4 linked regions of the Tribolium castaneum genome follow. Each later gene encodes a partner of the first gene's protein in a complex. Links are inferred from orthologs where the notes say so. Each region holds a gene or a part of one and is shown in the gene's direction. Other genes may lie near its edges.

The links.
Region 2: kto (region 1) and skd share a complex: the UniProt entries of both Drosophila melanogaster proteins name them as parts of the cdk8 module of the Mediator complex. The link is inferred for Tribolium castaneum from reciprocal best matches to the Drosophila melanogaster genes kto and skd.
Region 3: kto (region 1) and Cdk8 share a complex: the UniProt entries of both Drosophila melanogaster proteins name them as parts of the cdk8 module of the Mediator complex. The link is inferred for Tribolium castaneum from reciprocal best matches to the Drosophila melanogaster genes kto and Cdk8.
Region 4: kto (region 1) and CycC share a complex: the UniProt entries of both Drosophila melanogaster proteins name them as parts of the cdk8 module of the Mediator complex. The link is inferred for Tribolium castaneum from reciprocal best matches to the Drosophila melanogaster genes kto and CycC.

What each region holds. Positions count from the first base shown.
Region 1 is NC_087398.1:4,020,358-4,027,924, reverse strand, and holds the end of kto (mediator of RNA polymerase II transcription subunit 12), read left to right. Parts: coding exon 1-96; intron 97-344; coding exon 345-549; intron 550-599; coding exon 600-710; intron 711-758; coding exon 759-1,111; intron 1,112-1,213; coding exon 1,214-1,252; intron 1,253-1,957; coding exon 1,958-2,945; intron 2,946-2,994; coding exon 2,995-3,207; intron 3,208-3,253; coding exon 3,254-3,487; intron 3,488-3,593; coding exon 3,594-3,930; intron 3,931-3,976; coding exon 3,977-4,182; intron 4,183-4,380; coding exon 4,381-4,905; 3' UTR 4,906-4,958; downstream 4,959-7,567. Other genes in the region: ribonuclease H2 subunit B, read left to right, coding at 5,266-5,350, 5,537-5,767, 5,814-5,953, 6,004-6,495; bonsai (small ribosomal subunit protein uS15m), read right to left, coding at 7,219-7,567. UniProt on the Drosophila melanogaster protein: Component of the Mediator complex, a coactivator involved in regulated gene transcription of nearly all RNA polymerase II-dependent genes.
Region 2 is NC_087399.1:1,842,078-1,850,117, forward strand, and holds part of skd (mediator of RNA polymerase II transcription subunit 13), read left to right. Parts: intron 1-1,460; coding exon 1,461-1,775; intron 1,776-1,833; coding exon 1,834-2,112; intron 2,113-2,812; coding exon 2,813-3,089; intron 3,090-3,515; coding exon 3,516-3,662; intron 3,663-3,917; coding exon 3,918-4,343; intron 4,344-4,397; coding exon 4,398-4,848; intron 4,849-4,899; coding exon 4,900-5,173; intron 5,174-6,440; coding exon 6,441-8,040. UniProt on the Drosophila melanogaster protein: Component of the Mediator complex, a coactivator involved in the regulated transcription of nearly all RNA polymerase II-dependent genes.
Region 3 is NC_087397.1:11,465,291-11,473,326, reverse strand, and holds Cdk8 (cyclin-dependent kinase 8), read left to right. Parts: upstream 1-2,913; 5' UTR 2,914-3,088; coding exon 3,089-3,307; intron 3,308-3,353; coding exon 3,354-4,009; intron 4,010-4,072; coding exon 4,073-4,254; intron 4,255-4,303; coding exon 4,304-4,563; intron 4,564-4,609; coding exon 4,610-4,705; 3' UTR 4,706-4,744; downstream 4,745-8,036. Other genes in the region: eRF1 (eukaryotic peptide chain release factor subunit 1), read right to left, coding at 2,037-2,212, 2,290-2,375; RpS30 (ubiquitin-like FUBI-ribosomal protein eS30 fusion protein), read left to right, coding at 5,031-5,105, 5,157-5,322, 5,522-5,682; amrt (TM2 domain-containing protein CG11103), read right to left, coding at 5,754-6,272; trk (protein trunk), read left to right, coding at 7,960-8,036. UniProt on the Drosophila melanogaster protein: Component of the Mediator complex, a coactivator involved in regulated gene transcription of nearly all RNA polymerase II-dependent genes.
Region 4 is NC_087394.1:8,424,208-8,433,036, reverse strand, and holds CycC (cyclin-C), read left to right. Parts: upstream 1-4,303; 5' UTR 4,304-4,432; coding exon 4,433-4,464; intron 4,465-4,515; coding exon 4,516-4,622; intron 4,623-4,671; coding exon 4,672-4,878; intron 4,879-6,718; coding exon 6,719-7,173; 3' UTR 7,174-7,284; downstream 7,285-8,829. Other genes in the region: leucine-rich repeat-containing protein 1, read right to left, coding at 2,292-2,483, 2,541-2,799, 3,446-3,948; Pa1 (PAXIP1-associated glutamate-rich protein 1), read right to left, coding at 7,304-7,481, 7,530-7,735. UniProt on the Drosophila melanogaster protein: Component of the Mediator complex, a coactivator involved in regulated gene transcription of nearly all RNA polymerase II-dependent genes.

The sequences.
Region 1 (7,567 bases):
CTCAGGTTATATGCAGGAGGTTTTTACCAATCCGAGGCGAGGTGGCCGAATTGAGAGCTCGTGGGCGAGGCCGTTGAACGAAAGCGCAAATAACAGGTGGGTGGTGATGTTTCAATTGTATTTAATTGCAGTCGAGGTACAAAATTAGGAAAAGTCTTAAAACTTGGTAGATAAGTAAAAATTTTTGTTGTTTTATTCGATTTATTTGCACAATTTCATCGATTGCCACAAAATTTTGCCCAGAACTAGATAATTAACTGGTTAGCAGTCGTTTTAGATCAAATGTAAAATTACTTAACGCTTTTGCAAGTGGCCTATCACTGATGATTCTCATTTGTTTTCAGATATTCATTTGTTAGTAATGCGGTTATCTACGTTTGTCGCGAAACAGACAACGAAAGGTTGAACGATTTGGCAATAATGTGTGCCGAAATGACGGCTTGTTGTAACTCATTGGCATCGGAATGGCTGGGTGTTTTATTGGCCCTATGTTGCCCTATTGCCCATCCTGGGTACTACACCGACGTGTTGGCGCAGCTTGACATACAAGTGTGTATTTTTTCATTCAAAAAAGTCCAAACTTTTGATTTTTTTTCTAGGACGTGAGCATACACAACGCTTTGGCCGTTTTTACGTGTATTTTAATCGCGAGACATTGTTTCTCGCTGGAGGATTTCGTAGGCAGGGTTGCTTTACCCAGCCTATTGAAGGTAACCATTTTTTTCTAAAGGAACGTGATTGTAAGGCGTTTTTAAAAGGTGAAAACGTTGGATAATGGGAGTGGCGCTGCCGAGGGCGGCATGCGCCTCACATGCCACCTCCTCCTGCGACTTTTCCGCACAGCTGAGGGCCCCCAGCCTGGCTTGTATTCCGTCGGTTCGCCGCCTTTGACAGCCCCCAGGCCTCCGCTGGGAGTGCGTCTCAGCTGCGACCGTCATTTGCTAGCCGCAGCGCACCGTAATATTCACGTGGGGCCCGTTTTAGCAGTTCTGAAGGCTGTTTTAATCGTTGGGGACGCCACAGCTCGTGAAGGCACCGAACTCAGCATTTCACATATCTTGGGGACCAGTGATTTGATGAGTGGGGGCGATGGTCCGTCCTTAGACCTGGCGTAAGTCTCTCGTTGCGTAGGAGTGCTCACGACGATTGATTTTTGATTTGATTTATTTATTTTTTAACGGGATTTGATTTGAAATTGGTTCTGTTCCGTCAGGGTAGACATGGAGGTCTGCGGCTCCAGGACGGCCCATAGGTTTGTCGATGATTCAATATAGCTTTGCTTTGATTGTGTCACCTGTGCTTGCACACACTCATTTGTTTATTGTGAGATATGGACGCAGTTTTCGCTTACACACGACACCTAATCGGAACGAAAGCGAACCGGAGTTAGGGACTCGGGTTTTGTTTTGTTTCTCTCATTTCCGACAGTTTTTTTTCTTTGATTTTGGAAATGAGGAATTGAGTGATTTTATTTGGGGGAGCCATAGACTTTATCTTTGTCAATTCGGGAAAAAAATCATCACCATCATGGCTGCATTGCTAACTAGAGGGTGTGCTAGTCGATATTTGTGTAGAAAATGCATGATAACCTTTAGCTTTAAAGCATGCAGTCATTTCTGACCCGTGACTTGACCGAATCGAAACGTAGAGGGCGCACTTGTGGGAAACTGGAAAATTTTCCAGAGAATTTTATGAAAAAACTACTTGGCGCAAAAATAAAGTGCATGGCCCGTTTCTAAAATGGGAATTAGTTACTTCGCTTCATACCGGTGTGTACCGAGTGAACTAACAAATGAATTAGATTTTTTAGCTCATTTGGTACTATTATTTCTCCCTTGTTTTGTAAATAACGCATAGACCACCTTTCCGGAGTATTCAATGTTTTGTGATAATAATATTCTCGTCTAATAACGTTAATTTATTTAGTTAGTAACAATTTTTTCATTTTTGACGACAGACAATCAAGCACCGGTAACGCCGAAAGCACGGCCTCCTTATCAGCCTTCGCCTGTCACGTATTGCGTGAAATTTGCTCCCAACAGTGGGTCCTGGAGCGCTGTCTCTCCCATCCGGAGGAACTTTGCGACTCTGATAATCTCCTAGACCCGCTTTTGTCGCATTCGCAAGCTCAAAGACTGCTTCATATGATCTGTTACCCCGATGCTGGGACCAGTATCGAAGAATTGGATCAGAAAAGTATGATAAGTCGGATTTTAGAAAATTTGGAACAGTGGACATTGCGTATGTCGTGGCTCGACTTGCAATTAATGTTCCGACAGTTCACTCCCAACTCTCAGGAGTTGTCTCAATGGCTGGATACGGTAGCTAAAGCCGCTATTGACGTGTTCCAATTAAACTCGTCTTCGTCGAATTCGCCCAAATCCGACGAGAAAAAACCGGAAATTAAAAATCGGGCGCAGAATTCCATTTGGTTGGTGGCGCCTCTCGTGTCGAAACTGCCAAGTGCGGTTCAAGGTCGGGTCCTTAAAGTGGCCGGTCAGGTGCTTGAAAGTGGGGGTTGGTGCAAGGAAACTAAGAGTAAAGGACGTGGAGGGAGTGATAGTCAGAGTCTTTTGAGTCATCAGCCCTTCCTGACTTTGGTTCTGACCTGTTTGAAGGGTCAGGAGGAGGGCCAAAGGGAAGGTCTCTTGTCCAGTCTCCACCAGCAGTTATCACAGTTGGTGCAGCTGGCACGTGACGGCAATTTGCAAGACATTTGCAACAATGAACGCACCCTTGATGGGTTACAATTGCGCTTTGCGCTGGTAGGTGGCGTGTTTGAGGCGTTCCAGAGGAACCCATCAGCGACCACCGATTGGGCGTTGCTTTTGGTACAGTTGGTAACCAATGGATTGATTGATTTGCACACGCATAGCGAGTTGTTTACCACTGTTATCGACATGTTGGCAACATTGATTCATTCGGCGCTGGCGACTGATAGTCAGGTGTTACAACCGATTTGGTTTTCAATTCGTTACCGACTGATTGTTTCAGGATGAGGGCCGGAAAATGTATCAGAATTTGATGAAAAAATTGAAAAAGGAAGTGGGTGAGAGACATAACGCCTCGTTACAACATGTGAGACAACTGCTTCCGTTACCGCGGAGCGTAACCGAAATAATTGCGGTTGAACCGATCGGTTGGGTCACCGATGGCAAAGGGAATAAGATCAGTTTCGACAGTTTGGATAAGAAACACGGTTTTCAGGTCAGCAATTTAATTATTTTTATGGTGGTATTAATGGTGAGATTAGGTGACTGATAAGCAACGCGTGAGCAGTTGGGACATCCTCGAGGGTATGAAAAACCCAGCCCCCTTGTTCTGGGCCTGGTTCGGGGCAGTCCGCCTTGAACGCAAGCCCCTGACCGGGGAAGACAACCATCGCCTCCTCAAATACCACACTCACAACCTCCAGCGGCCCCCATCGCACTACTTGGACCCTCCGCCACTCCCACCAGAGGATTTGGAGCCCGTCCCCGACAAGCCGGTAATGTTCCCTCCATTTTATTCCTGTGTCTCTCGAGCCCCCTAGAGCGGTCCTTGAGCCCCAAAGTGTCTTAGATGTGTAGATTTGTGTACTGTGTAACCTCCAGCTAAAGGACTGTGACCTGAAGGCGGACACTCCCTCCTCGGTGGACCAGAGCCCAGCTGCGATGGGCAAAGGCCGTGGTAAAGGTCAGCGACGTCCCCGCAAACCCAAAACCGTCCCAGGACAACTTCCCGTCAATCCCATGGGCATGAACCAGCCCCAGATGGGTCAAGGACAAATGCCCATGCAAGTGCCCGGACCCAACCCACAAATGCACAATATGGGCGGCTACGGACAGGGGCCCATGCCGCAGCAAGGCCAACAGTATGGTAATAACCAACAGCAATGGTACAACCAACAACAGCAACAGCAGGGCTATTACCCGCCTCAAATGGCCAACGGTGAGGCAGTTTTGAGGATTGACGAGTGTTTACTGTTTGTTTACAGTTAACCGCTTCGAAAGGCCGCAGATTAATCAATCCAAGCAAGCGCTTTCTAATTTGCTGCGTTCGCGGCATCCCCTGAACATGGGGCCCACTGCACAAACCCCGCAAGGGCCGGGGCCCCAAGCTAACTACGGGCCCATGAGGAGCTTCCCGAGACAGCCAATGCGGCAACAACACCCAGGGGCGATCCAGCAGAACCAGGTAAAGGTCCGTTATTCAAATATTATACTAGTGGTGCCAATTAGTGTTTTGTTACGTTGGCAACTATTTGTTTTGAAATCAAGTCGCCACTTTAATAGAGTGTCAAATAATTTTTCTCCAAACAAATCAAATTTTTGTGCTAAAATGGATTCAGTTTGTGTTTTGCATTAGAATTGGCTTTAATTTGATTGAATTCAATTCCAGAACATGTTCCCGCAGCAGTACGGCTCCATGCAAGCCGGCATGAACCAGCTGTATGGCAACTACGGGGGCACACCCAACACCATGATGCCCAACAACATGCAGGCGAGTCAGCAGATGATGCAGGGCTCGCAGCCGAACATGTTCGCCGGTCAGCAGCAAGGGTTCGGGCAGCCGAGGCCCCCACAGCCCGACTATCGCGGCATGGCCCAAAACCCCCGGGCTCAGTACATGCAACAAGCGCCAAACGTGACAATGAACGCCAATATGAACACGATGGGCGGGATGGGGGGCCAAGGGGGCCCAGCACCGCCCTACTCGAGACAAACCCCGCAAGGGATGCAACAAGGGGTGCAGCAACCCAACCAGTTCCAGCAACAGAGGATGAGACAGCAGATGATGGCCATGCAACAACAACAGCAACAACAAGGGGGGCCACAAGGAAATACGTCCTCGTTAGTGGCGCATTTGCAGAGGCAGATGAATCCTAACCCGTACCAGCATCAGCCCCCACCGTATAATATGTAAGAGTGAAAGTCGTGTGTGTTGTGAAGTGTGTAAATAAATTTATTTACAAGAAATTGTGTTTTTTGTTAATAAATAATTTGAACCCCTGCTTGTGTTTTTGTTACGCCACTGATAATCTTGCGCATCGCAGGTGCCGGGTTCCAATCGCCCAGCACAAAGTTAGTCCTTGTTTTAATTAACTTGTGGCGGAGATTTGTCTGGTCCGCTGCACTATTATGAAAATGATAAAGAGTGCTGCCAACCTGAAATTAATTTATGCACAACTGTCATTTTTAGTGTGAAATTTAACCGGGCGTCAGTGATGGCTGTCTCCTATTAATAAACAATTTTCCTTAAAATTTCCATTAATTTAACGTGAAAATGCCCCGCGTTAAAGCCTCCCCGAAAAAATGCATCAAGTCCAACCTGCAACAGCCGACAAATTCGTGGGTTTTCCTCCTCAAAGGTAAAAAATAATGCGATTTTTCCCAGCGGTTGTTTTGTTCTCTTTGTATTTTTTCCGGATTTGCTTTTTTGTTTTGTTTGTGTCGGCGTAAAAACTCGATATTGACGAATTGGGAACGGCGAGTCTCGCGGGGACTTTCAGTCAGGATTTTTGTGTAAGAGGTTTGTTTACATTTTTCGTGTTTAGGTGAAGCGCTGGAACTCAGCGAGCAGTACACGGGCACCGGCACCCCCGACATTGTCACCCTGAGACACCCCAACACGGGCGAGTCTGCCGTGTTCCTATTCTCACCCGCCAACAATTCAGTACAGGAAATTTTGACGTACAATGAGGCGAAAAGGTCGTGGTTTATTGATGAGACGGTTAAAAGCGATGGGAAAATGCATCTATCGACCCCCATAGACCCCATTTTCTTAGGTGGGTGACCAATCACCCAAACAATAATTAATAAAATTAATTCTAGTGTTACCATACTTGAGGAAATATTGCAGCAGCCAAGCGATACCTTTAGACCAACTTTTGCGAGACGAAGAGTTCCCAGAGACTGAACGATTGCTAAAATCCAGCGGTCTCAAGTATTTAAATATGATAGCCGATAGAAAAGTGAGTCACGCCAATTTGCCGTGTTTTTTGTGACAAAATAATTTTGTTAGGGTGACGAAGAGCTTAACGCTTTCAAATACAACGAAGAAAAAACCCTCTCGTGGCTGAAGAAGAAGACCGAACGCGTGGCTGAAATCCTCAAACAGAAGAATATTCACGTGGGTTCAGGCGCCGTCTCTGCCACGTTTGTAAAGTCCTCAAAATCCGAGTCTTCCGATTCGGACTCGCATTTGCGATACGCCCACGGGATCGTGTCCGAGTATTTAATGGACGACCTTAGTCAAAAACTCCTCAAATACCTGAATTTGCCTGACGACCCCCAGTTCAATTTGAAACGAAAAAGCACAAACCCGCTGTCGCCCAACGAAGCGAAAAAAACGAAAATCGAGGAGGAGAACAAGAGTAGCACTTCCAACGTCCTCGACTTGAGCAAACCTGAGCCAAAGTCGGCGAAGTCTGCGGCAGCCAGCGCCAAGGACAAGGCCCGAGCCAAGGCAGCGAGCGGCAGTAAGACTATAAGTTCCTTCTTTAAGAAGACTTAGAGGTGAGACGCTTAGGTCAATAGTATAAGTTTGCTTGTTTGATCGCGGACAAGGTTGTTACATTTAGGATTAAATTAGGTACTAATTGCTCATCTCCATTTCGATACTTGTGTACAGTTGAATCAAAACTTGTCCGGACGTAAAGTGAAACGAATGGCCTTTTTCAAATGGAATTTCTCTCGTTTCAAACGAGCCTAAATTGCAGGATTTGGTCCGCCCCAGTGTCTCTTTTGGTTTGGGCTAGTTTGTTGTTAGTTCTTCCGTTGCGTGTCAGTATTAATTTATTTGTGATAGTTTCAGTTTCTTGTACATATTATTGCATTGGGTGCAATACTTTCTGTTTAGATATTTTCACATTGAAAAATTTCGTTTCTCTTCCGATTTGCTGTGCAAATTATCGTCACGTTTTTACGCAAAAGAAAAACTCCAAAAATTTGTTCCTAAGGTCACGAAACAATGACTGATTCTCTTATAGCGAATAGTAAGTGTTAGAGTTCAATGTACGGTGAAGCAATTTCTGATTAGTTCTTAGATGGCAATACAAAAACCATGATCAATAATAGGTAGATACGTGTAATAAACATTTTATTTTTTTAAGTATTTTCACTCGTATGTATGTCAAGTTTCTAGATTAGAGATTTTTATTGTTGCATTTCGTCGTTATGTGTACGTGATACATGTATTTAACGGAAAACGAAAAAATGTTTGAAAAAAACACTGGTTTCACTCTTCTTCACTCTTACGTTGCTCCTCCAATTCCTTGAGTTGCTTCCTCACTGCTTCAACCTCCTCGTCTGTGACAGTGACTTCAACCCCACACTCACGTTGCTCGTTCCTGATAAACTCAAGAGCCCTGATTTTCTCCTGCAAAAAGACAGGCTGTTCGTTCTGCAACAGCTGCTTGTACTCGTCAAGCCGCCGTTGCCTAATATCCTCGCAGTAGTTATTCGTCAACTTCCGTAACGACTCCTTCCGGGTGATCCAATGGAAGTGATCAGGGGGCGGCTTATACACAATTTTTAGCGCTTCCAGCAACCACTCAAACCGCTTGTAATCCCACCGTCGCAAATAC
Region 2 (8,040 bases), on another chromosome or scaffold:
GTACTTAAAATATATATAGTGACGAGTTCAAAACTTTTTTAGCTACTCTTCAGTTGTCTTAAAAATTTGATTTTTCAGTATCTCTGCAAACTTTTGAATAACTTTCATCTCGACAATGAATTTGCAATGCAGATTATTTATATCATGCGTGTTTTTACGTATAAACTTATAAGTCAATTGGTCTGTTTTCAATACTTATTTCTACAAAAAAAACTTACTCCGAACAAATAATTCCACTTCCATGCCATTTCTTTTTTTTTTTGCTTTTAACAATATTTTCTACGTGGATTTTCCTATTTCATATTTTTTTGTACATTTCGTACACTCGGTTTGTTTTGTTTAAATCATTTTTTTATTTAATGTTAACATATACTTTCTTTAATCTTTTTTAATCCAAATCTGAAACATGTATCTGCTTATGTGATTTCCCGAATTTTATGCGCGTAAGGCATGTTGTCCGCTTAAAAGAGAGATTTTGTTTCCAAGGATCCGCGTCCGTCTATTAGAGAGACGGAAAGAGAAGCAATACATACCATTTGAAATACAGTAGCTCAAAACAGAGATAACAAAAATGTTCGTTTATGAGAATTGTCCGCTTATAGGAGGTGTCCATTAAGAGAGATTTCACTGATTATGCTGAGAGTGTTTAAAATGTTTTCTTGCAAGTTAAAATAATATAACAATAAATAATTGCCACAATTTTTTTACGGTAGAAATAATTTACAAAAACTATCAGTTGTTATTGTTTCACGTGATCAGTTAATCACGCATTTAATTGCGGATTAAATTAACGACGCTTTTTTTTACAGAAAGCAAAATTAAAATTTAATTCTGAATTAAACTATTTCGAACTAAGTTGTCATTTAACATGCATTGACAAATGGCAAGTTAATCGCGGATTAAATTTTAATGGTGATTAAAACGTTCTGTAAACCGGCCTTTAATTTATTACTTAGTTAATGAAAAATGAGTTTAAAGGACCGGTTTACTGAATCGCAGTTAGCTTTTAATTCGGGATTAACTCGACGTTTGTCAATGCAATTTAATTCGGAATTAAATTTTAATGTCGGTTTCTGTAAACCGGGACTAAGAGTCGGTTTACAGAACATTTTAATTGTACTCAGATTTTAATTCGAGATTAACATGACATTTGTCAATGCATTTTAAGTGTCAACTAAATACCGAATTAGTTTAATTCGCAATTAATTTTTAATTTCGCAATTTGTAAAGTAGATCGGCCCTTAATGTTCTATTAGAACAAAACTAGTCTGGGTTTAGTTAGAGACACGTAATTTTTTTTGGGCGGCTGTACCTGTTACAAAAAAAAACGAGATATTGAGGTTTTATTGCTTTATTTGACCAATTAAAAAAATATTAAAACCACAAAATACATAAATAATACATAAATTTCTTGAAATTCTTGAAAATTTAGTCGTTGGTTAATAAAAAAAAATTTGCAGATTCGGAGCAGGGTTCGTGGGAGAGCGGCCTGTCCTACGAGTGTCGATCTCTCCTCTTCAAAGCCTTGCACAACCTGATCGAGCGTTGTCTCCTCTCTCGCGATTTTATCAGGTTGGGAAAATGGTTCGTTCAGCCGTACGAAGGTCCAAAGAAGAACGACTTCACCATGACTCATTTATCGTTCTCTTTGGCGTTTTTCGTGCACGGCGAGAGTTCCGTATGTGCAAGCGTCGACGTACGCCAACATCCACCAGTTCGAAGACTCACCAGATTGCATTTGCAACAAGCTCAATCCTCAACTTCTGGTCTCAAAGGTAAACCTATTTTTTTTTTTTTTTTTTGAAATAAAATGTGTAATTTTTTTACTTGTAGTGATTTTGGCTCCGTATGGACTTGCGGGGACTTTAACCGGTCAAAGTTTCAAGTCTTCGGACCAAACCTCACGTTTGCTGGAAGATTGGAGCCACTTTTATCCATTGGATAAGAGTAGCAGTTTGACGGATAGCAGTGTGGTGGAAGTCATTGTCGGAGGTGTTAAAATGAAGTATCCGTCGTGCTATGTTCTTGTCACCGATCTGGACGATAACGTCAATTCGGCAATGAATTGTACGGGGGTTAATCCGCCTAATGGGCTCGTCAAGAACGGAACGAGTGAGTCTAACTTTGTTGCAATGAAATACGAGACGACGAGACACCAAAAAAAAACATTTTATTGTGGCGAAATTTATGACAATTTTATTATAACAAAAGGGGTTTGGACGGACCTGTTGGAGTGTCACGAGTCGTAAAAATTAATTTATTAGGTGGTGTTAATGTCGACAGGGTTTATGAAATGTTTTGTTGGTAATTGCACATCACTCGTAAAATTGTTTGATTTAAAGTGTGGTTGCTTGCATTATCAAAGTCACGTCGCTGATTGATACACACTGATGTCTATCATATCAATTTTCTAGTGGTAGAATTACAAAAAAAAATAAGAAAGCAGTGTCATCTTACAGAAAAAAAATTGCGGTACATTTCTAACCATTTTATTTTTTTTGTAATTTTTTCTAATTACGTTTCGTACGTTCATGTTTATTTTTACATAATTTAAATGAAGTGGGCATTAAATTTAAATGAATGTATTTACGAAATCGGCTCTAAAGGCCGCTTAAACACTATTGATTAAAAGAGCAACCTACAGTGGGTCAAACCGGCGTCCACCCTCGCCCCTTTTACAGGCTAATTAAGCGGCATTTAGGCATGCATTCAGCGTGACAGATTAATTAAATCTTTGAATGGTTGAGTCGTAACGTTTGCTTTTGACACTTGATTGAAATGAATTTTATTTTTTTCTCCAATGGTGTGTTAGGTTCACCGATACTGACCCAAACACCACCCCCATCTCCGATCCAAATCAACAGTAGGGTGCCCCAACCAGGGCCGTATTCGGTCTCGGTGGAACACCTCTTATCCATGTCACGCGACGAAACTGCCGCCACTGTTCTGCCCGAAAGGGCATGGCAGGAGTGCATCCATGGGGGGCCCCCAGGCTGCACCCCCCAACCAACTTCCAATACACCGCACGAATTCACCGGCCAATGGGATTTCGTCGATCCAATCAAACGCGCCAATTGTACCTGTTCTAAGTGAGTGGAATTTTGTTGAAATGCATGTATAGGCCAGCTCTAAATCAAAATTTTGGGGAAATTTTTGAAAAAAAAAACAAAATTAAGTGTTTTTTCAAGATTCAAAATCGGTAATGTTACTAGAAATAAACATTTTAATCAGTTATTAATATTATCCCTTTACTTTTACTCACCCTAACTCTGTTAATTTGTTTAATTAAAAAAATAGTCAAGTGAATATTTTTTTGTAAAATTTTATGCTTGTAGATTTTGAATAATCTTTGAAAAAAGCTTGTAAGCTTTTGCCCAACATTTTGATTTAAAGCTTGTTTGCCTGGACTCGTAGCTAGGTTTCGGTGCTTTTATTTTTTTTATTGGCAGATCGAGGTGTAGTTTAGTTATGTTTTTGTAAATTGAGAGTTGTTAGTGCACGTTGCGACATTGCAGGTGTAGAAAGTACGTGGGCAGCATGACCAGCAATAAATGGAGCACCGGGGCCACCACCAAGACAACCAACTCGCCCCGGCCTTCGAAGGCAGTACGGGGACGTGTACCTTTCCACAGGCGCTCCCCCGTACCTGCAGACTCCGACAGGTTGGTCACTCGCTTCATGGGTGACGGGCTTTTAGGTCATTCCAAACCAAATAAAAAAAAAATTAAAATTTGGCATTTGGAATTACCCATTTTTTAATTTCTACTTAAATGAAGCGACATTAACAATCTCATACTAATAATCGGTTACCACATTTCATAGGGCGGGCCCCAGGTACACTAGGCATGTTTTTGTTGTTCATTCATCGGACGCCACTCAGAATTTCAGATAACAATTTTTTTCCGGTTTTTTTTCAGATGCTCTGGCTCCTACACGCCTCAAGGGGGCCCACCGTCGTACCCTCGCACGCAGGAATCGGTGGCCATCCCATCGGTGGGGAGCCCCCCATCGGTGGCCCCCTCGCCACTACCCAACCCCCACTCGCAACCGGCTTCGGTGCCGCCTGGAGACCAAACCATGCCGATGTTGTCGCCCCATCCGCCCACGTTGCTTCCGTCACCAGTTGAAAAGACACACACCCCCGACCATCCCCCCAAAAGCGTTGAAAGTACGGCAAACAGCCCCAGTTGTCCGACTGATGCAAAAAACGAACAAGTGACGAACGTAACGAGTGTTCCCGTGTTAAAAAGACCGGTTTTGAGTGTGAAAGAATACGAAAGTTCGTTAGGGGATGAGGAACAGACTTTGGAAATGCTTTATGATTATTCGACGTTAGAAGCTTGGTATTAAAAAAAAACAAACGTTCGAATAATCGGGTTAATGTGTGTGTTTTTTAGGTTGAATCATCCGGTTAAGCGGTTTAAGCCGGACGGTAAGGAAAACAAGAGGAATAGACTCGGGAAAAATGATATTTACTCAATGTACAACCACAATGGTGTCACTGTAAATAACAACGACGTAACGAACAATTTCAATACCAAAAATCAATTTATTAAGCAGGAAATTAAGCAAGAAATGACTGAAAGTGAATCAACGACGCCGCTCGGGCCGATGCAAGGTCATGGGGTTAAGAGGCCTGGAGATCCGTACGAGTTCGATGAAGAGGGCGCCGGTTCAGCCTGCATTGATGGGTTCAAACGCGGGCAAACGGTGGTCAAAGAGGAACCCAAAGATTCGAAAAAAATCAGTACTGGAAATTTGTTTACAAGCGAAGGCTTGCAACCGAGCTACAAAGATCTCGAACAGATTTTTGATAACAATTCTGACGATACGAGTAGCGATGAAGCTGTAAGTCTGGTGATTGTTTTTTTGTGTTTTTTTTTATTAGTGATTTTGTAGATTCAGGTTCAAACGCCGCCAGGTTCGACGACTTTGAACCATCACGAGGATAATAAAAGACTTTCGGGACATGGAGGGTGTCCCACAATGGGGTGTTTAAGGCCCGAAGAATTGAGTAAAATGTTTCCAACACCTCCAAGTCTCGAACATAATCCGATCGCGTCGCCTTGCGGACAAATGGATTTAGCACTGCCAGATTATACGGATTTAGGGATAGTCAGGACCAAACAGGAGATTTATCCCAATATGGGGAGTCCCCCGGAGGAACACATAGGTAATTAAAAAAAAACACAAAATATCGTAAAAATACACAATCAACTGCCAATTTACTGGTCTATAGAATTTAACGTATTTTTTTCCTTATCATTATTATTACACGTGATTATTATAAATCGCACAAAACTTTTTTTATAATAGATTTTTTGTATAAATCGGTGATTTATCTTAAAACAATAACTGTTAAATAATTGTGAAAATAATTTATTAACAAATGTTATAAATTAATAACATTTTTCTTTGTAGTTTTTTCTTTTCTTACTTTCATTAAAGTTTTATTCATTCATATTAATTTTATTTAAACGAGTATTTCGTTACAGACCAATGATATTATCTTACGTTGGACAAAGTTCACAACTTTTAATAAACAGAATTAAACTGCATAAAAATAGCGGCCACATAATACACATAAACAAAAAAGAAAAAACACTTTCTGACACAGGCCACAAGTTAAATTTTAGTAAAACCAAAACTCTAGATAAAGAAATAAACACACAGAAACGATTACTGTTGAAATGATTTATCCAATGAGCGCAAAAATTATTGGATAATCTTAGAAATGGAAATGGCAATATAAAAGTTTTGTCGAAAAAAAATAAAGTGCAAATCGTAAAATTTTAATATAAACAACCAACAAAATCTAGATATTAAAAAATGAGTCAATTCTTTATTTAAATACAAATATTAACTTCTTAACAAAGATAATACCTGTGGACAAACTTTTCATTCAGATATTGTTCGTAATATTATTATGAACCCCTCCTTTTTTTAAATCTTCTGTTTGACTGAAATTTACCTTTTTTTTTGTCCAATTTTTTACAAAATATCGCTCAAAAACGTATTAAAGTGAGTGAATCAGGTAAAACACAATAAATTTAGCTTCATTTTTGTGGTTTTTTATGTGTGTTTTGTAAAAAGTAAATATATTTTTTTTGTTTAAAAATCACTAAAACGAGCAAAACAAGCTATAGTTACAATGATTTCCATCGTATTTGAAAACTTTTTAGTCTATTATAGTCAATTTTAGGGAAATTTCTGAAATTTATTGGGTGTTTGGCTTACAAATGTGCAAGAAAGCTCGAAAACTGAATTATTGTTTTGTGACCAGTTCGGGCAAATTTTCCAAAGCAAAATATTCACAGAAATTATTGTTGTTCTGACGATTTTAATGAAGCTGACAATAAACCACTGAAACGTTGACAATGAATTTTTTATTAAAAAAAACAATTGTTGATTTTAATTTAATTTCTTCGTTTTTTCCCCAGACGACTGGACGTACGTTTTCAAGCCGCCCGTCTTGTGTAAAATGGTGGGTTCTAGCAAATACGCCCCTTTGACGAACCTGCCCAGTCAAAGCCTTCCCGTGGTGACCCTCCCATCGTACTGCGTCTACAAACCATCATGGATACAACACGCCGAAAAACCCCTCCAACAGCTCCCACCACCGTCCACCACCCAGCCTTCAATCCCCAACAACCTCCACCAAAACTCCTTCCCTCCCAGTCCCCTACATGGCGGCTTCCGGCAACCACCACCTCCCTACGAGCTCCCAAGTCCGGCAACGTCAACCGCCAGTTCCTACCTTAACAAAAACCTGAATTCGGTCGAAGCTGTTCCCACACCGTCAGTGCAAAGGACACCCGAAGCGAATTCGCTCGCTCTAAACATCCTCCTAACCGACACCGCATCGAATATTTTCCGTGATCATAACTTCGATAGTTGTACGTTGTGTGTGTGCAATGCTGGCGGCCGTGTCGTCGGTAACATTCGTGGCGCCGACGCCGGTGTTTATTTGATAAGTTCGTCCTGTGATAAAACGCAAAGTAGTGTTCAACAACCGAGCAGTCCATTCCCCGGGGCCTGTTTGGGACAACCGCCTCCTTACGGCATGCTCTCGCCGCCCCACCACCACCAGCAGCAACTGCTCGTCGACGAGGACGGCATTCGGTGCAGTTGCGGCTTCTCGGCCGTCGTCAACCGCCGGCTGGCCCACGGAAGTGGTCTCTTCTACGAAGACGAGATGGAAATCACCGGCATTGCCGAAGACCCCGGCGAGAAGAAAAAACCCTCGTTGTTGTCGTTCCTCATCGCGAGCAATTCGATTAAACTCGACCCGAGCATCGACCGGGACCAGGTCGATGTTTTACCGCACGGTCTCCTGGAATTGATCCGGGAACAGTGCGTTGTGATCCCGAATACGGCGAACGCCCTCTGTCGGGCAGCCAAATACGTCTGCACCAAGCAAACTTTCAACAATATTCACGTCCTCGAATACTCCGATAGTAACGAAGTTACGACAATAGCCCTGGAACAAAGTAAAAGTAGCTACGACTTGGCCGTCTGTAAGGTCGAGGATAAGGCGAAGCCGGCCGTTGGTTACGCCGTCCACCGGTGGCCGTTCCTGCGGGCCAACGGCCCGCAGTGCAACCAGGACATCGTCCGGGTCATGCGCTCCCTGCAACCGCTCCTCCAGGAAGCCATCCAGAAGAAATGCCAGACGCGCCTCTGGGAGGCCCCCAGTGCGGTCAAAGGCCCGCTCACCTGGCGCCAGTTTCACCGGCTTGCCGGGAGAGGCACCGACGACCGCTGCGAGCCCCAGCCCATACCGTCCGTGGTCGTCGGCCACGAGAAGGACTGGCTGTCGGTGTCGCCTTATGCCATCCAGCACTGGGAAAGCTTGCTGCTTGAGCCGTATTCGTTCGCCCGTGATGTGGCGTACATTGTGGTGGCGCCCGATAACGATGCGATACTTCCACGTGTTCGGACCTTTTTCAAGGAGCTGTCCACGGCGTATGAGATGTGCAAGTTGGGGCGGCATAGTCCCATCACCAAAGTGCTGCGCGATGGGATTTTAAGGGTGGGGAA
Region 3 (8,036 bases), on another chromosome or scaffold:
GGGCTATCTAAGGGTGGTATCCTTGAACATTAATTTACATGTGCACTTCGACAACACCGTCAAGTGTCACGAATTTGTCAAACTGACATTGACAGTATATTATAGACGTCGTCGCATGGTTGTCGAAAGTGTTATCGGTGTTAATCGCAAGTATTTTCTGTTCGTTTATTGTGTTTTGTGGTTTGCGTTTCGTTAGGTTTTTGATTCTGCGTTTATTAGTTCTTGTTTTGTGAATCTGTATTTTTTGTAACAACTCATAATTTAAACACTTCGTAACCTCAAAAAATATTTGATAGTTTGTCACCGCTATGCCCCTGCTATGTAAACGTAGTGACAGAAATGTCAGATGACGCACACGCAAACGGAGCTGAGCGCTACCATAGTAATTTTAAGACACTGATGATGGGATCCTATCCCGAAAGCGCTCTGAACACCCCTCTTTGGACATTAAATAAAGAGCGATCCAGAAATACTGGGTCTATTGGCAACAGATCTTAAAGTATTTTTGCTCGTAATTTGCAACAATGCAACTAAATTCGATTTTTCTTGACAATTATTTGACGTACAACCCCAAAAGAATGTTAAATTGTTGTTAACGGGAAGCGTACTCCATTGGTATATTTTAAAATTTAAATTCAGTGTTTCCAACAGACTTAGTATTTCCGGATCATAACAATCCCACTTCGATAGAATGAATATTTTAAATTTTAGAAATATATTAGCTGTTTAAAAACTATAAAAAGGCCAACGTCGCATTGTACCGAATAATTTTTTTTAATAGGATTGATAAAATTGTGAAATAGCTATTAATGATTAGATCTCTCATTGAAAGTATAAATTATTTATACTTTATAATTATATTATTTTTTAAAGTACCAGAAAGAAGAAAATACTCTCCAAAAAATATTCAACTGTTGCAGTATGACAGTATTTTATGTTATCACCTAAAAGACATAAATCCCATTTCAGTTCATAGCAGAATTGCAACAGCGCATTTGAATTTATCGGAGTAAAAAATAAAGCACAAATTGAGAGCTTCTGTAAAAGAAAAGAATTCTGTGTTAAACTAAATCCCAGCGACACGTTTTGAGCTAAGAAAACCCACCAGAAACTCTCAATTTCACTACAAAAAATTCAAATGCTCTGTTGCAAAATTCTACTATGAACTGAAATGGCATATATGTCTTTTAGGTGATAACATAAAATACTGACATACTACAACAGATGAATATTTTTTGAAGAGTATTTTCTCCTTCTGGTTCTTTAAAAATGGAAATCGGCAAATAAAATTATTAGTAATGTTACTTTTTTATCTTTATAACTTTTGCTGTCCCGTCCGTTATCGCAATCACAAAATGTTGTTCTTATTTCTTACGTTGTTAAACAAAACCAAGAATTTTTAATGTACACTGTCTAATTTTAATATATATTTTATTTTAATAAATAAAACCACTCTGAATAACTGTCTTATAGTTCGAAACTATTGAAGCTAGCGAAAAATTTCAGGTACTGACTGAACGGACTGTAAAATCTATAAATGGCTGTTTCAAAACTATAAAACATTGCATTTTCTCTCAGAATTAGCTAAATAAATAAATAAATTACTCATGCACTTCATATAATTAATAGCTAATGTAATTTATATTTTTAATGAGAGACCTAATTATTAATAAGTATTTTACAATTGTATCAACCTTATTTAAAAAATAATTCGGTAAAATGGGACGTTGGCGTTTTTATAGTTTTGAAACAGCTAATAGTTGGATCGGAAATGACAACTGAATGAGTAAAGATTTTTCAATTTGTTTTAAATTAGCGGGATTCACCACTTAATTAATTGGTAGCAATTTATTTTTGCAATCTCAGCTTGGAAAATTAGGGTTTACCTAAAGCGGATATCATGCAATCTAAGTGATCATGAAAGGCTCGTTTTTAAAATAATAAACTGTACAAAGTATGCATTTTTAATTATAAACGATTGCTCAACGCTGGTATTTTGGTAGGGTGTGTCACAGGCTGGGGCTCCTCGCGCTTACCTTTTGTGTAGAGTTTGAGGCGATGCTGGACTGAGGTGATAGCCCCCAAGACTGACAATCTGTTAACTCTCGACTTGATATTGGAGGCTGTGCCGAATTCATCAGCTAACATTTTGCTAACTCTCGAGATTTGATCTTTGGGCGGTATAATTAACGAAATCATGCTGGTTCCATTGCTGCAAAAGGCCAAAAAAACCGTTTACTTGAAACTCGTGGGCATATGTTGAAGGATTTCTAACCACGTTGCACTTACCCTCTCGCCAGTTCCAAACTTTTGATCAGTTTCTTTATTTTCCAGATTTCTACATTACGGTCGGCTGAAGTCTCCTCTCCTGACATTTCTGCTGGATTTCGTATGAACTAAAAATACGAAAAATGTGACCCGATGCAAAATGGCGCGGTCTCCAATGCCGACGAACTACTTGATTGAGTCACTTTTCACTGGTTATGCAGGTAACTTAACCACTTTAACTGGTTATAACCAGAAATGCGCGACCCGGAGACTTGGTTAGTGCGGGAAAAAATATTCCAGTCACTCACATGCCGAAACAAAGGGAATCACAAAATAAAACTGGCAGGTGACAGCCTCTCGCAGAAGGAAATTCGAAAAGGACCCTACGATTTCCCAACTTTCCGACCGGAATTTCCCATTTATTCAATCAAACTGGGGGAATTTCGACACGCCACGTTGCCCAACCCGACCTCGGGACCACAAAATCATAATTATTTCAAATAATTGATACTTCTTCTGCTTGATTCGACAAACTTCCACGTATTGATTGCAATTAATTATTAAATTAACAGTAGATATTTAAAAATTAAATTTCATTTTTTCTTTAGTTTGTGCGTTGTTTTTGCGCATGCTCGTCGCGGTTAGACATTTGACAAGACGTTGACGTTTGTCAAAAACAAATTTTGATTAATTATTATTATTTACAAACATTCCTGTTCTTCCCAATAGTGAAGTGCAAATTTGTTAGGGAATCACCGGTGTTATCATATAAACTTGGCACTTCTCGCGAAGTGCTCTAATTTCTGATCAATTGAATATTATGACAACTCTCATGATGGACTACGAATTTAAAATGAAGACTCAGAATGAGCGGGTAAAGGTGGAGGATTTGTTCGATTACGAAGGTTGTAAGGTAGGTCGGGGCACGTACGGCCATGTGTATAAAGGGCGGCGGAAAGACGGGTCGGACAATCGAGACTATGCCCTAAAACAGATCGAGGGGACAGGACTATCCATGTCAGCATGCAGAGAAATAGCGGTAAAAATCGCGTGCTGTATTATTAATAAACCTTATTGCCTTATAGCTTTTAAGGGAATTGAAACACCCAAACGTTATCACGTTAATTAGAGTCTTTTTATCTCACAATGATAGAAAAGTGTGGCTTTTATTCGACTTCGCCGAACACGACCTGTGGCACATTATTAAATTTCACAGAGCCGCTAAAGCTAATAAGAAGCCAGTCATGGTCCCTAAAGGAATGGTGAAGTCATTGCTTTACCAAATTTTAGACGGAATTCATTATTTGCACTCAAATTGGGTGTTACACAGGGACTTAAAACCGGCTAATATTCTGGTTATGGGTGAAGGGCCGGAGAGAGGACGTGTTAAAATCGCAGATATGGGTTTTGCGAGACTTTTTAACGCACCATTGAAACCTCTAGCTGATTTGGACCCCGTTGTGGTCACTTTTTGGTACCGAGCGCCAGAATTATTGCTCGGAGCTCGCCATTACACGAAAGCAATTGATATTTGGGCCATTGGATGCATTTTTGCCGAACTGTTGACCTCAGAACCAATTTTTCATTGTCGGCAAGAAGACATCAAAACCAGCAATCCGTACCATCATGACCAGTTAGACAGGATTTTTAACGTTATGGGATTCCCCCTTGAAAAGGACTGGGAAGATATCAAAAAAATGCCCGAACATCCCACACTAGTTAAAGATTTTAAAAAACAAAGGTACAGACAATGGAAATTAAATTGTTGCCAATTAATTTTTGTCATTTTGTTAATCTTTTCCAGCTATATCAACTGTTCGTTAGTAAAATACATGGATAGACATAAGATTAAACCTGACAGTAAAGCGTTTCACTTATTACAAAAGTTATTATTAATGGACCCAAATAAACGAATTACTTCAGAACAAGCGATGCAAGATGCCTACTTTTCTGAAGACCCTCTACCTACGCAGGACGTTTTCGCGGGTCAGTTTAACAAATTTCTCAAATAAAAAAAAACAATAAATAATCACAGGTTGTCCAATCCCATATCCCAAGCGCGAATTTTTGACTGATGACGATCAGGAAGAGAAGGCTGAAAGTAAGCAACGTCAAAACCAGCAGCAACAGCAACAACAACAACAGCAGCAATCCCAGCAACAGCAACAACAGCAGCAGCAGCAACAACAACAGCAATCCCAACAGCAACAATCTGGAAATGGGGATAATCACGGGAATCCCTCAAAACGTGTGAGATTGTCGGGGAATGCCCATCCCGGCCAAGTCAATCCACAAGTAGGGTTTCTCTGATTTAAGTGGCAAAGTAATGACTGATTTTTAGGCTATTCCAATATCGCAACAACAGGAGTTTCATCAGCAGCAGATGATGTATAATAACGGGTCGCAACAACAACAGAATTTTCAACAAAGATTTTAAATTTAGGTTTAAGACATTAATAAATTTCTATAAATCGTATCGAGCGCTTTTTATTTAGGGATTTTAGTTTCTGACTATCATTTCCGTTTCCTCGAATCCGCCATTTTGAATTCCTTTTGTCAAATTAGTGCTTGCGGTAGGTATGTTTTTCCGTTTTATATCAAATTTTTATGACTTTTGGGTCAAAAATTGAAGATTGGGGTCGTACTATGTGTGCGGTTGTTGTCCCTTTGAATAAAATTAGTGCTAGTCGAGACTTAAGCGCTTGTAAAAATCACCATGTGATGCAATAAAAATTGTTTTTTCTCTTCCAGAACCGAGCAAAATGCAGTTGTGCTTTCGCGGACTATCAACGCACGTGCTTGAGTGCCAGAGCAATGAGACCATTGCTGAAATCAAGGTAATTTTATCAAAGTGTGAGGTTATGTTCTCTCCAAGTGGTCAATTTTAGGATCGCATTGCGGCTTTGGAAAACCTGAACAGCAGCGAAATCAGTCTCTACGCCAGCGGTGTTCCCGTGGCCGATGCCAGTTTGGTGTCAGAATTCGAAAATACTGATATTGAGTTGACTGTTGGTTTGTTGGGTGGTAAAGTCCACGGTTCTTTGGCACGTGCAGGTAATTTTTTGTTAGTTTTAACGGCAAGTCACAGCAGGCTGGTATGGAAATCACAGTAACAGCCTTCCTGAAGCTTGCAAGAGAAAATTGAACTGTTTGAGGTGGTTTTAATTTGGTTTTAAAGCCGCTATAGAAAGTATCAGACATTTTTATTTCTGAATGTAAGTCGGCGATGTTTGATGTGTATTGTATTTTTTAGGCAAAGTCAAGGGTCAGACCCCCAAAGTTGAAAAACAAGAAAAGAAGAAGAAGAAGACAGGTCGCGCCAAGAGACGTATTCAGTACAACAGAAGATTCGTCAATGTTGTGGCCACTTTTGGACGTCGCCGCGGCCCCAACTCAAACGCTGGAGCGTCATAATTTCGTATTTTAAGTTTTATATTCATAACTGCAATGAATAAATAAAATAAGAAGTAAAACAAGTCTTTTATTTACACATAAGGGTTCCAATTACTGCCGTCTTCAGGCCCTAAATTATTGGTTACAAGTAGTACAATGTCAACAATCCACCAAATACCAACTCCACCTAATGTTAACAATTTACCGACTGCTGTTCCTGTCTGCCCTAAACAAAACCTATCCATCCCAAGAAAACCTAATAAAATGCTGTATAACAACGTTGTTGTAAAATACTGATCGGAATATTTCACACAAGCGACGCCTTCTTTAAGAAAAGTTCGATTTCCGTAACATTCTATCCTATCCAAAACTGTACACTCCACTTTAGTCCTTTCAACATCTTCGTATTTCATACCACCAAACTTAACACAACCATAACCCAACTCTTCCTTTGCCGTTCTATTACCCTTGTGGTCAACTGGGTCCTTGCAAGTGATGAATTCCCAAGGGAGGAACGAACACTTTACAAGGGGGCCTCTAGGATTGAATGTATGATTGGCCCATATAACCTCACTTTGAAGAAAGATCAAAAATACCACAAGTGAAATCATTGTCACTCATTATTTAGCGAAGAAATGAAGCAACGGGAGTTGTTTCACCTTTTAACAATATACAAAAAAAATTTGCCAAAGCTAGAAAAACCCGAATTATTTCATTCTTGCCACACTTGGGATTTTTCGCAATTTCCAATGGCACACCAGTGGAAAAAATATTCAAGTCTCGAATTTATTTATCATAATAATTTGCAAATGCACAACTTTCGAAATTGTGAATTTTTTTACACAAGGGCGGAAACACGAAAATATTTGTCTAAACGGGTGACATCTGCCGAAACATATTGCAAACCCTTAAAATCTTGTGCAGAAATCTGTAATCTTTTATCCTGTGTTATTTTATTTTATTACTTTTATTTCTGTTGGTACAATGGGTATAATAACATTTTAAGGCTTCTTTTTAATATCTGAATCTTAGATTTTTTTATGCACTATTTTAAAACACGTTTCCCATATCAACATGTTTTTACTATTATAAAAACACGCTTCCCAAAGCAACGTGTTTTAAATTTAATTTAAAATTAATTTAAACTTAATTTAAAACACGTTTAAATTTATGATTTAAAATAAATTAAAAAAACTAATTGAAAAAACTAATTGAAAAAATTTTGTTTCAACAAAAAAAAATTGAATAATAATAACAACGCTCATTGCATACCCGACAGCCCTCAAACTTCAAGCTTGTATTTTCGCAATTGTATTATTAATAACTATTTCAAAATAAATAACATTCCTAAAAAATACAAGTGACGGTAATATAAAATATAAAAGTATATATTAGCTGTTTCAAAACTACAAAAACACCAACCTCCAACGTCTCATTTTCTCTCAAAATTAGCTGTTATAAATTATTCATGCACTTCAAAAAAGTTATAGATAATGTAATTTATATTTTTAATGAGTAACAGCTAATTTTGAAAGAAAATGCGACGTTGGTGTTTTCATAGTTTTGAAACAGCTAATATATTCAAGGCTACGTAAAACAAACTTTGTCGTAACATAAAATAAAATAAAAAAAAAATAAAATAGAAATGCTTTGACAAGTTTACAAGCTAAACAACTTGCTGGTTTGTTTTGTAATTAAATAATTTCATTAATTAAAAGACAGTGCAACCGTAAAACATCTTATTTGATGACCTCACCAACAAACCAACTTATTTTTCCACCAACAAAGTATTGAAATTTTTGGCTTTAGTTTTTGTCGCATCTTACTTAATCGTTGCATAACACTCAAAATGATGTCACTCGACCCCTTTTACTATTTAAATTTTTTGAAGACGTAGGTCTGGAATGCAGAAAACGTCCTTGTTTGAAACTAACATACAATTTGCCCCCCTTTTAAACCAAAAGTGACCTGTTTCAGCATTTTTTCCAAACTTGCATGGAATTGGAGATTACAGGGGGTGCAAATTTTAGTTGGGACAGCTGTATATGAAATTATTTATTCTTTAAGTTTTGATAGTGTATTATTTTTTGGCTAATTTTTTCAACCGCTACTTGAAACGACACATTTTCAGCGATTTAATCGCAAAAAACTTGCACTGCTGTGTTTCTAACAACTCTTATTCCCAGAAAGTGATCATTTTACCTGAAGTAATCCTTAGTAAACACTCAACGCAACGAGAGAGGGGCAAAATCTCCACCAGTCAACCACCAGTCAGCCGTGGTCCAAACATTCGTTAAAATGTGTCTAATCCTATTTTTGTTGACAATATCAATTCTGAGCGTCGTTGATAGCGCACCGCTGAGCCGCTGGGAAAA
Region 4 (8,829 bases), on another chromosome or scaffold:
CAAAAATTTATTGCATTTGTCGTAAAATTTGCACGCGATCATTGTTGGGTCTGAAGGTTGAGGCAGCTGGTAAGAATTTTTCAGGCCCGGATTTCCATTTATTTTATCTGTTTATTGCAAATGGAATGTTAATCTTTAAATCTTGCGGCAAGGGCTCATGCGAATTGTAAACGAAAAATTCGTTTGTGCTTAGACCAAAATAGTCATCAATTTAAACATCTGAGGTAATATTTTAATAAAAACATTTTTAACAAGTTAGTGTGCTTATTCCGGTCCTGGCTTTAAAATTGCACGATGGGACCGTGCCGCTAGTTGTAAAATTTCTGCAGTTATTACTGTTATTGGGGTAGGTAGTGGGTCCTTTTGTCGCGGAGATTTATTACTACTCAATCTTGTCCCTCATAAATTAGTTAAATTCCCGATGAATAATATCAGAATGGCTTTTAATCAAATTCTAACGATTTTTTTCAAGTCAAATTTTTCCAGAATAATTTTATTTCGCATTTCCGATCCATTGATGTAAAAAACAGCCAATGTGATTTTTTGGTCAAATAGTTTTTTTCTTTTTTATTGAACAAATAAATTAATAGAAAAAAAAATTAAAGAAAGTTTTTCCCTCCTAGCGAGATTGGATATCAGTGCAGTGGAAAATATTTATTTCATATTTTTTTTCTCTCTTCTAAGAGATGTAAAGTGCCTGAGTGTAAAACTTGACGAACGCGGTACAGTATAACGTAGACACCAAACTTCAAAAACTAGTAGCTCGCTTACAGTTAGTCCTACAACAATAAGGCTAGGACCATTTTGTAGGAAATTTTATCAACTTTAATTTTGGTAAAAAGATCAAAATTGATAGAAGTGACCGTTTCCGAGATATAAGCAAAAAAAACAAAAAAGACAGCTTTAGCCCCCTCCCCCTCCTTGGGGACTTTTGATAAAGAAAGCTTTTAAAAAAAATTCCAACTCTCTAGGAATTTTTTCCACCGATCGCCTTATTTTTGTCTAATTTGACTGGGCTATAAAGAGTATAAAGGAATTTAGACTAACTCTGTATATTTAAGAAAGCTGTTTTCAAATTATAAAGAAGATGGTACAGCGTCTGATAAATACTTTATTAATTATTAAATAACATTTTGAAAAAAAAATTAAATTTCCGTTAGCAGGGTTTTGTTAAGTCTTAAAGTTATATAGATAAATTTTGTTCTAATGGGTAAAGAGAAATTGGTGCACCTAACTTCTAATTTAATCAAAGGTTATTGTTTGAGCATAAAAGAAAATTTTGAAAAAATCCACTTCTTCACAAGCAGATGCGTTAAAGTTTATTTCGAATTCTTTAACTTTGTAGAATAATAATACTTAAGTAAATAAACATCTTATTTTAAAGTCAGACAAGTCTGTTAAAGTGTGTTTTCACGGATCGATTTTACTTGATCTAGAAAACTTTAATGAAAATCAACGTAAAAACATAATCAAATTAGGTCATAAGTTTTGTTAATTAACTACAATTAATCCGTGAGAACGCGCCTTTAAATTTAGTAATACTAAAAAATATGCTTATTAAATAATATTTCAAAATAATTTACAGCTTAATTTTGGAAGTAAAGAAATTGAAAGTAGTTCTAACAAAAATTATTAATGTAGACGATACTTCAATTTCATCTGTAAGAATTGTAATGGAAAAATAAGTTTCAGATTAAAAACTTAATACATAGTCAAAAATAAAGATAGTGCAAACACTTTATTCAAAAAGAAAAAACGATTATTAAATTACCAATTACATATTTAACAAAACGCTGCAAACACGGTTAAAGAAAAAAGTATAAAGGACAAAGTTGTAGAGAATTAACTAAATTTCTTATAAAAAAAGTCCACGACACCATATTTCTATCTTCAATAGTTTAGGTATAAATTAATTTTCCGATACTTTATTAGTGGTAAAATGAAACGAAACCGTCGCTTAAACTTTTTTAAACATCATTGAGGATTTTTTTTAAAGGGCATTTAATTTTCTACAATTTCCTTTCCAATATTTTTCTTGTATCTTAACCCGTTTTCACGGCGTTTTGAAAAATGTGGGACGAAACGTAAATCTTATATTTTTTTCTCACGTTTCTCGTGAAAATTTAATCGTCACTTTATCTCAGTCTGCTAAGAATGCAAAGCTTAATAGTTCTGTATTTTTTCCAAGAAATTACTTTAAAAAGAAATATACTTTTGCGTAACCGACTTTTATTTAAAAAATAAACCACAATATCTCGTAATACTTTATGGTAAGGAAAAACCTGAAACAATCAAAACGTTACAAGAAATTTTGACAACTTCGAGACTTCTATTAGAATATCTTCATCGTCGCTTTCTGACTCCGTAGCTGAATAATTCAAATCTGAACTAGCTACACTATTTTCCCAATCGGAATTTGAGTCAGAATCGACCGCCGTATCATCTTCTAATTGTTTATTTGATGTTATCACATTGGGGAACATCTGGAACAAAATCAATCAATTTTATTTACGCACAATTGAAATCAATTAATAAATTACCACATCTATATCACCAGTCGAGGACAATGGGTTATGTAATAAATTAATTTTGACACAAGTCATTGTAGTGAGTACACTTTCCGGAATCGAATAAAATTCGTTAAAGCGCAAGTGGAGGTATTTCAACTGTTTTAATTTGGATATATTTGAGGGAATATAATGAAATTTGTTTTCAGTCAAGTTGAGGTGTATTAAAGACTGTAACTTATCGAAGTCTTTAGGAACTGTGTACAATTGATTATCTTCTAAAGTAAGCCACCTGAAAAAAATCAACAGTAATATCCATCACAAGAGGGCGAGGTTAAATTGAAAATTATTTTCTAATTTATCGAACTCTCCTGTGCTTTTATGTGGATTTTTTTTTATTAATAGGCATCATGAAATTATATAATATTTAATTGTATCTGTTTTTTTAGAAAGTTTACACAGTAGGCGCTAGTAGATAAGTAATTAATCTCACGAGAATAATAGTTATTTATTATACAAGACGATAAAATCTGATTTTAACTATGAGAAGGTTTTGAGAAGATAATGGTGCATTTTATCGTGTAAAATACAAAATTTTATTTCTCCTCCATTTTTTTCGATTATTTCGAATTACTGAGTTATTTTGATTAACAATTATAAACATTAAGAAATTTAACAATAAAAAATACTTTAAAAACAACAATAGTTGCGAACTATATTTTTCTAGGCGACAAAATTCCGTTTTACCATAAAGTAGACAGTGGATAAAATACGATTTTATCCAACCAAAAGCATTAACACACTCGGCTTCGCCTCGTACTACTTTTTCGTTGATAAAATTCGACCTTGTTTCACAAGAGAGTGGAATAAAGTAAAAATAATTTGTCGATTTTTCGAAAACTAAAATTCTTTAATTTTTGGGTAAGTGTCATACTTACCTCAGTTGCACTAAATTACAGATTCCATCTGGTAACTTTGTTAACAGGTTATGCCGAGCCCCCAAGGTTTCCAACTTTGTTAAATTACCAATTTCTTCAGGTAAAGACTCCAGATAGCAACGGTTACACCATAATGTTTCTAACGAAGTTAAATTTCCAATATCTCTAGTCAAGTCTTTAATCGGATTATGGCTTATGTTTAGAGTAATCAACTGAGGCAAATCCTTGAGTACTTCAGGGAAACGATCGAAGTTATTGTACTCCAGAGACAAATTTTGCAAATTCTTGAGCTGTCCGAGACACTTGGGCAGTTCAGTGATTTGATTATGACCAATGTTTAGATATGAGAGGTGGACACAGCTCACCAACAAGGGGGGAAATTTGACAAGGTCGTAATCATCTAGCGCTAAATTCGTTGCTTTAGTTCCATGAGCTTTTTCTATTTTTGCCAAAACCCGGTTTCGCTGAATGTAATCGTACACTGGATTCATTTTTGGAAGCATTTAGAGGTTATGTCGCACAAACTCACTGATTATTTACACAACTTGTACACAAGCACACATTTTTGAATAAATAAGAATCCAAAAAAGAAAACTGGGGGCCCGAGCCCCTACACCATTCCCAACACAAAAAAACACACAAACAATAATTTGTTTGTTGTCACAAGTGGCGCTTTGACATTTGAAGTAGTTCAAATCAACCAAACATTTTCGTATCATATGGTTCGAACGAAACAAACAATAAATAAAATAAATAACAAAACTGAAAAATTAGCGTTCGTTTGTACTTAATTTTAGTATTCTAAGGTCTACAGTTTTAATAAAAGAGGTCGTAGGTTAAAAAACACCACAGTAGTTCCATTGGTTGACACTTGTCACTTGACTGAGTTTCTTTGACCGGTTTCTTTTGCTTTTGTGTTAATTAATAATTGACTGGAAGCTTAAAGTTATTGCCTGTGATTTAATTCAACTCAGATTAGTTTGTGCAATGGCTGGAAATTTTTGGCAAAGCTCACACCAGTAAGTTACGATATGAAAACGGCCCCAAAATCACAAATGAATTTTTTCCAGCCAGCAGTGGCTTTTGGACAAACAAGATTTAATTAGGGAGCGCCAACATGATCTCCAACTCCTCACGGAGGAGGAGTACCAAAAAATATTTATATTTTTTGCTAGCGGTATTATTTATATTAGGTTATTATCAACTCTCTTAATTTATTTTTTCAGTCATTCAAACACTAGGCGAACAGTTGAAGCTACGCCAGCAAGTTATAGCAACCGCAACGGTTTATTTTAAGAGGTTTTATGCAAAAAACTCACTTAAGTGCATCGATCCGTTATTGTTAGCCCCCACTTGCATTTTTCTAGCCTCCAAAGTAGAAGAATTTGGGGTGATTTCCAATTCTAGGTTAATTACAACGTGTCAGACAGTCAGTAAGTTAAGTCACAGTCTCCGTGATGGTCTTAGATGGCTGGTCTAAAAGTTACCAGATATAATTTTCCCAAGTTTTTGTTAAAAAAATTACCGAAAAGCATCCAACTTCGGAACTACGGATATCTAAAAGTTAGGATATGGTACGACGTACAAATAAAACGTTCCTGTCCTTGATATTTCCGTTAATGCCGCCAGAGAACGCTGTTGTTCCATTACCAAGGTTTTCAGAGCAATAAATTTGAAAAAATGGTTGTATTTGTATAACGGTTAACACACAGCAAACAAAAAAAATACAGGCAAATAGAGCATTAAATTCTCAATAGTAGGACATAAACATAATGCAAAAATTTTATCATAAACTATATTTAAAAAAATTTCAAACTTTTACCAATTTGCACTCTGTCCCATAATTTTCAAAACGCTGCGAATACGGTTACAGATATAAATAAGTATATACTATTTTTATTCGAGGGACAAAAATTGGATAAATAAGTCACGTCGAATTTTTTTGAACTTAGGGATCAAATTTTATAAACAGAAACTCTTGAAAAGATTAAAAATATATTACCGGACAATCGTTTAATTTTTTGAGATAAATTGCTCCAAAACTAAAATTAAAAATGTCTATTTAATGAAGTATTGTTTATTATTAATTGACTGATCCAGAAATACTGTCTGTTGACAATACTGAATTAAAATTTTAAATGTTCAAAATTAATTGAAATTTGGTATATGCCTGAAAGTAAATTTATTCATCGAATTATTTGTTTAAAAAAAATTTCCATTTGTTCTGGGAATATTAAGACTAGCTAGTCTCATTGGTGAACCCAAAAGTCAAATTTAATATTTTTAATTATTTATTAATTTAATTTAATTTATTATGTAAAAAAAATATCGCACTAAAAAAATTGGTCAGCTTTGTAAATCTTGTCTTTATCTAAAGATAGCTCGTTGCCGCCTCAACTTTTACCAAAAAATAAGTAAAAGTTAATAATAATTGAAAGAGAACACATTTAATAAAAAAATGAGTTGTATTAATACTTATTAGCGCCACTGTATTTATAAGCATTGGTTGTTCTTCGTTAATTTATATGCTAATATCTAGCTTTCAAGTGTTCAATTTTCTCTAATAAATGTTTTTTTGTAGTTACGACTTTTTTGCTTAGTAACTTCAGCAATTTTTTTATTTCAATTGTTTTAAATTGAAAAATAGCGCTCTAAAAAGATGTCTATAAAATTGCGTATCAATTTAATTTTTTTCATTAAAGTTCAAAAGCATATAACATAAAGGTGCGATTTAAAGAAAATTTAAGAATCACGAAATAACTTAAAAATACGTAAAAGTAGTTACAAGGTTTTTGTTTAGCAGGTCAGTTTAATTCTCTACAAATTTCTTCCTAACATTTTTCTGTATCTTTAATTGTATTCGCAGCGTCTTCTTAAAGCACAAATTAAATAAAAAAATTCTCATGTTTGTCATGAAACTTGTAGTCGTCAGTCTTTCTTAGTCTGTTAAGAGTGCAAAACATTTCTACATTTTTTCCACGTTATTAATGAATTGGTTGGTTTTAAATTAATTTAAAACGATTTGGCGACAAGACGGTATAACGCTCGTAGCGCCCTCAGTTTTACTCTGCCGTACTATTTTTGGTCTCCTAACTTATAGTCCTCCGTATTCAGAACATACCACTCAACAGGGCGACCTCTCGCGGTTATTTAATTAATTACAGTTTAAAAATCCAAAAATTAATATTATATTCTGTCGTTAATAATTTCAAAGCCGTCTAAGATCGAAGGAGGCTAAGTTAAAACTAGCTTTTTTAAACAATCTATTTTCAGTTAAAAATAAGTTTAGTTACGCCTATAGTCAGGAATTTCCATATCGTACGAACCACATCCTAGAGTGTGAATTCTACTTGTTAGAAAACCTCGACTGTTGCTTGATCGTCTATCAGCCTTATAGACCTCTCTTACAACTAGTGCAAGACATGGGTCAAGAAGATCAACTTTTGACTCTCGCCTGGAGGATAGTGAACGATTCTCTTAGGACTGATGTGTGTTTGCTTTATCCACCATATCAAATTGCAATTGGCTGTCTTCAAATAGCTTGTGTCATCTTGCAAAAGGACCACAAGGCTTGGTTTGCCGAACTGAACGTGGACATAGAACGAATTCAAGAAATTGCAAGATACGTTATTAATTTATTCGAGCTGTGGAAGACTTACGACGAGAAGAAAGAAATTCAAGGACTGTTGAATAAAATGCCTAAACCAAAACCTGCCCCTCAAAGATAGAAATCGGACGATTTCTACGTGACTTTACGCTTATAACTATCACTTAAATATTTATTCTTTGATTCAATTCAACATAACTGTGCTAATTTCAGAATAAAGTTCCTAGATTTATGAAGTGTTTTATGTTATTTCAATGGTTGCTTTGTTGCGGTATGAGTTTATGCCTCCGCATGTTGTTAATAACACCGTCCAAAGACGTAGTTTTCTTCTTGGCGCTGCCTTTCAGTGCTTCCTCTCCTTTGTTTCGAATTTTGAGGCGTGGGGACGTAGTTTCGTCCATAAAATCAAAATCGGACTTATCCTCAGTCCTACAGACAATAATTAATAATTGTGTAAACACAAACCATAAATTTTACTGTTTTTGCTCAACTTCAACCGGAGGCGGCTCTTCCACTTCCGGAGAGGGTGAACGGTATCCAGGACATTTCCAGTTCAGTTCAGGAATTTCACCCTTGCTTAATTGATCGTAAAGTTTTTCGATCACTTCAGGAGGGGGCTCCCAAGGGCCTTTTATGTCTTTAAATTCGTCGTCGGAGCACTCTATATCCCAATTTTCGTCCATTCTCTTGTAAACATTTTTGTTGTAAAAGTTAGGTTATGTTAAAAAAAAATTACATAACCTCAATCAACTCCAAATGTCACTTCAGAGCGCTAAATTTAAAAATTTGAGAGATAGAAGGCGAAAACTAATCAAAATAAGCTCCATTCTTCCATTCTTCTGTAAAATTGTTCGTTAACGTCCACAAAATAACAGACTGTAGAAAAATAACAAAATCTCAATCAATTCGTAAAATCGAGTTTGTTTTTGACGAAAGTACGGATATCTAAAGGTTAGAAATAAAATTACGTACAAATAAAACGCTACCGCCTTCGATAGTTCCGTTAATGTCGCCAGAGAGCGCAGTTGTTCCATTACCAAAGTTTTCAGAGCAATGAATTTGGAAAAATGGTTAACACATAATAAACAAAAAAATACAGGCAGATAGAGCATTAAATTCACAATAGTAACAGAAACATAGTGCAAAAATTTTATTGTAAACTATATTTAAAAAAAAAAATCAAACTTAAACCAATTTCCACTCTGCCCCATATTTTTCAACACGCTGCGAATACGGTTAAAAACAAATAAATTTCTTACAAAAAAGTCTGCGAGACCATACAGGGTGATCCTTTTATTAGAAACTTTTTAACTTGTAAGATAGCTAGAGTTTTAAAATTTTGTATAGATCCAAATCGACTATTCTAAGTTCAACTAAATTATTTTCAAAATGGCTGACCATCCGGAATTACAAAAAATTGCCGCCATGTTTGAAATGCAATAAAAATGAGTGGTTACTATTTAAAATTTCAAAGTTGGCGCCAATTTCTCTTAGTTAAGGAAAATCAGCCATTTTGAAATAATATAGTTGAACTAAAAATTATCGATTTAGTTATAAATATAAAATCTTAAAGCTTTAGCTATATTAGAAAATAAAAAGTTTTAAAAGAATAAGCCTGTACACATATCTTGCTCGAAGCGCCCTCATTTTTACTCTGCCGTACTATATTTTTGAGTTATAGTCCTGCGTAGTTTAAAGGCAAGTTTATCGTAATTATTTATTCTATAAATCTTCACTTATAATTTTCTATAATATTTAATATTTACAAAATACACAC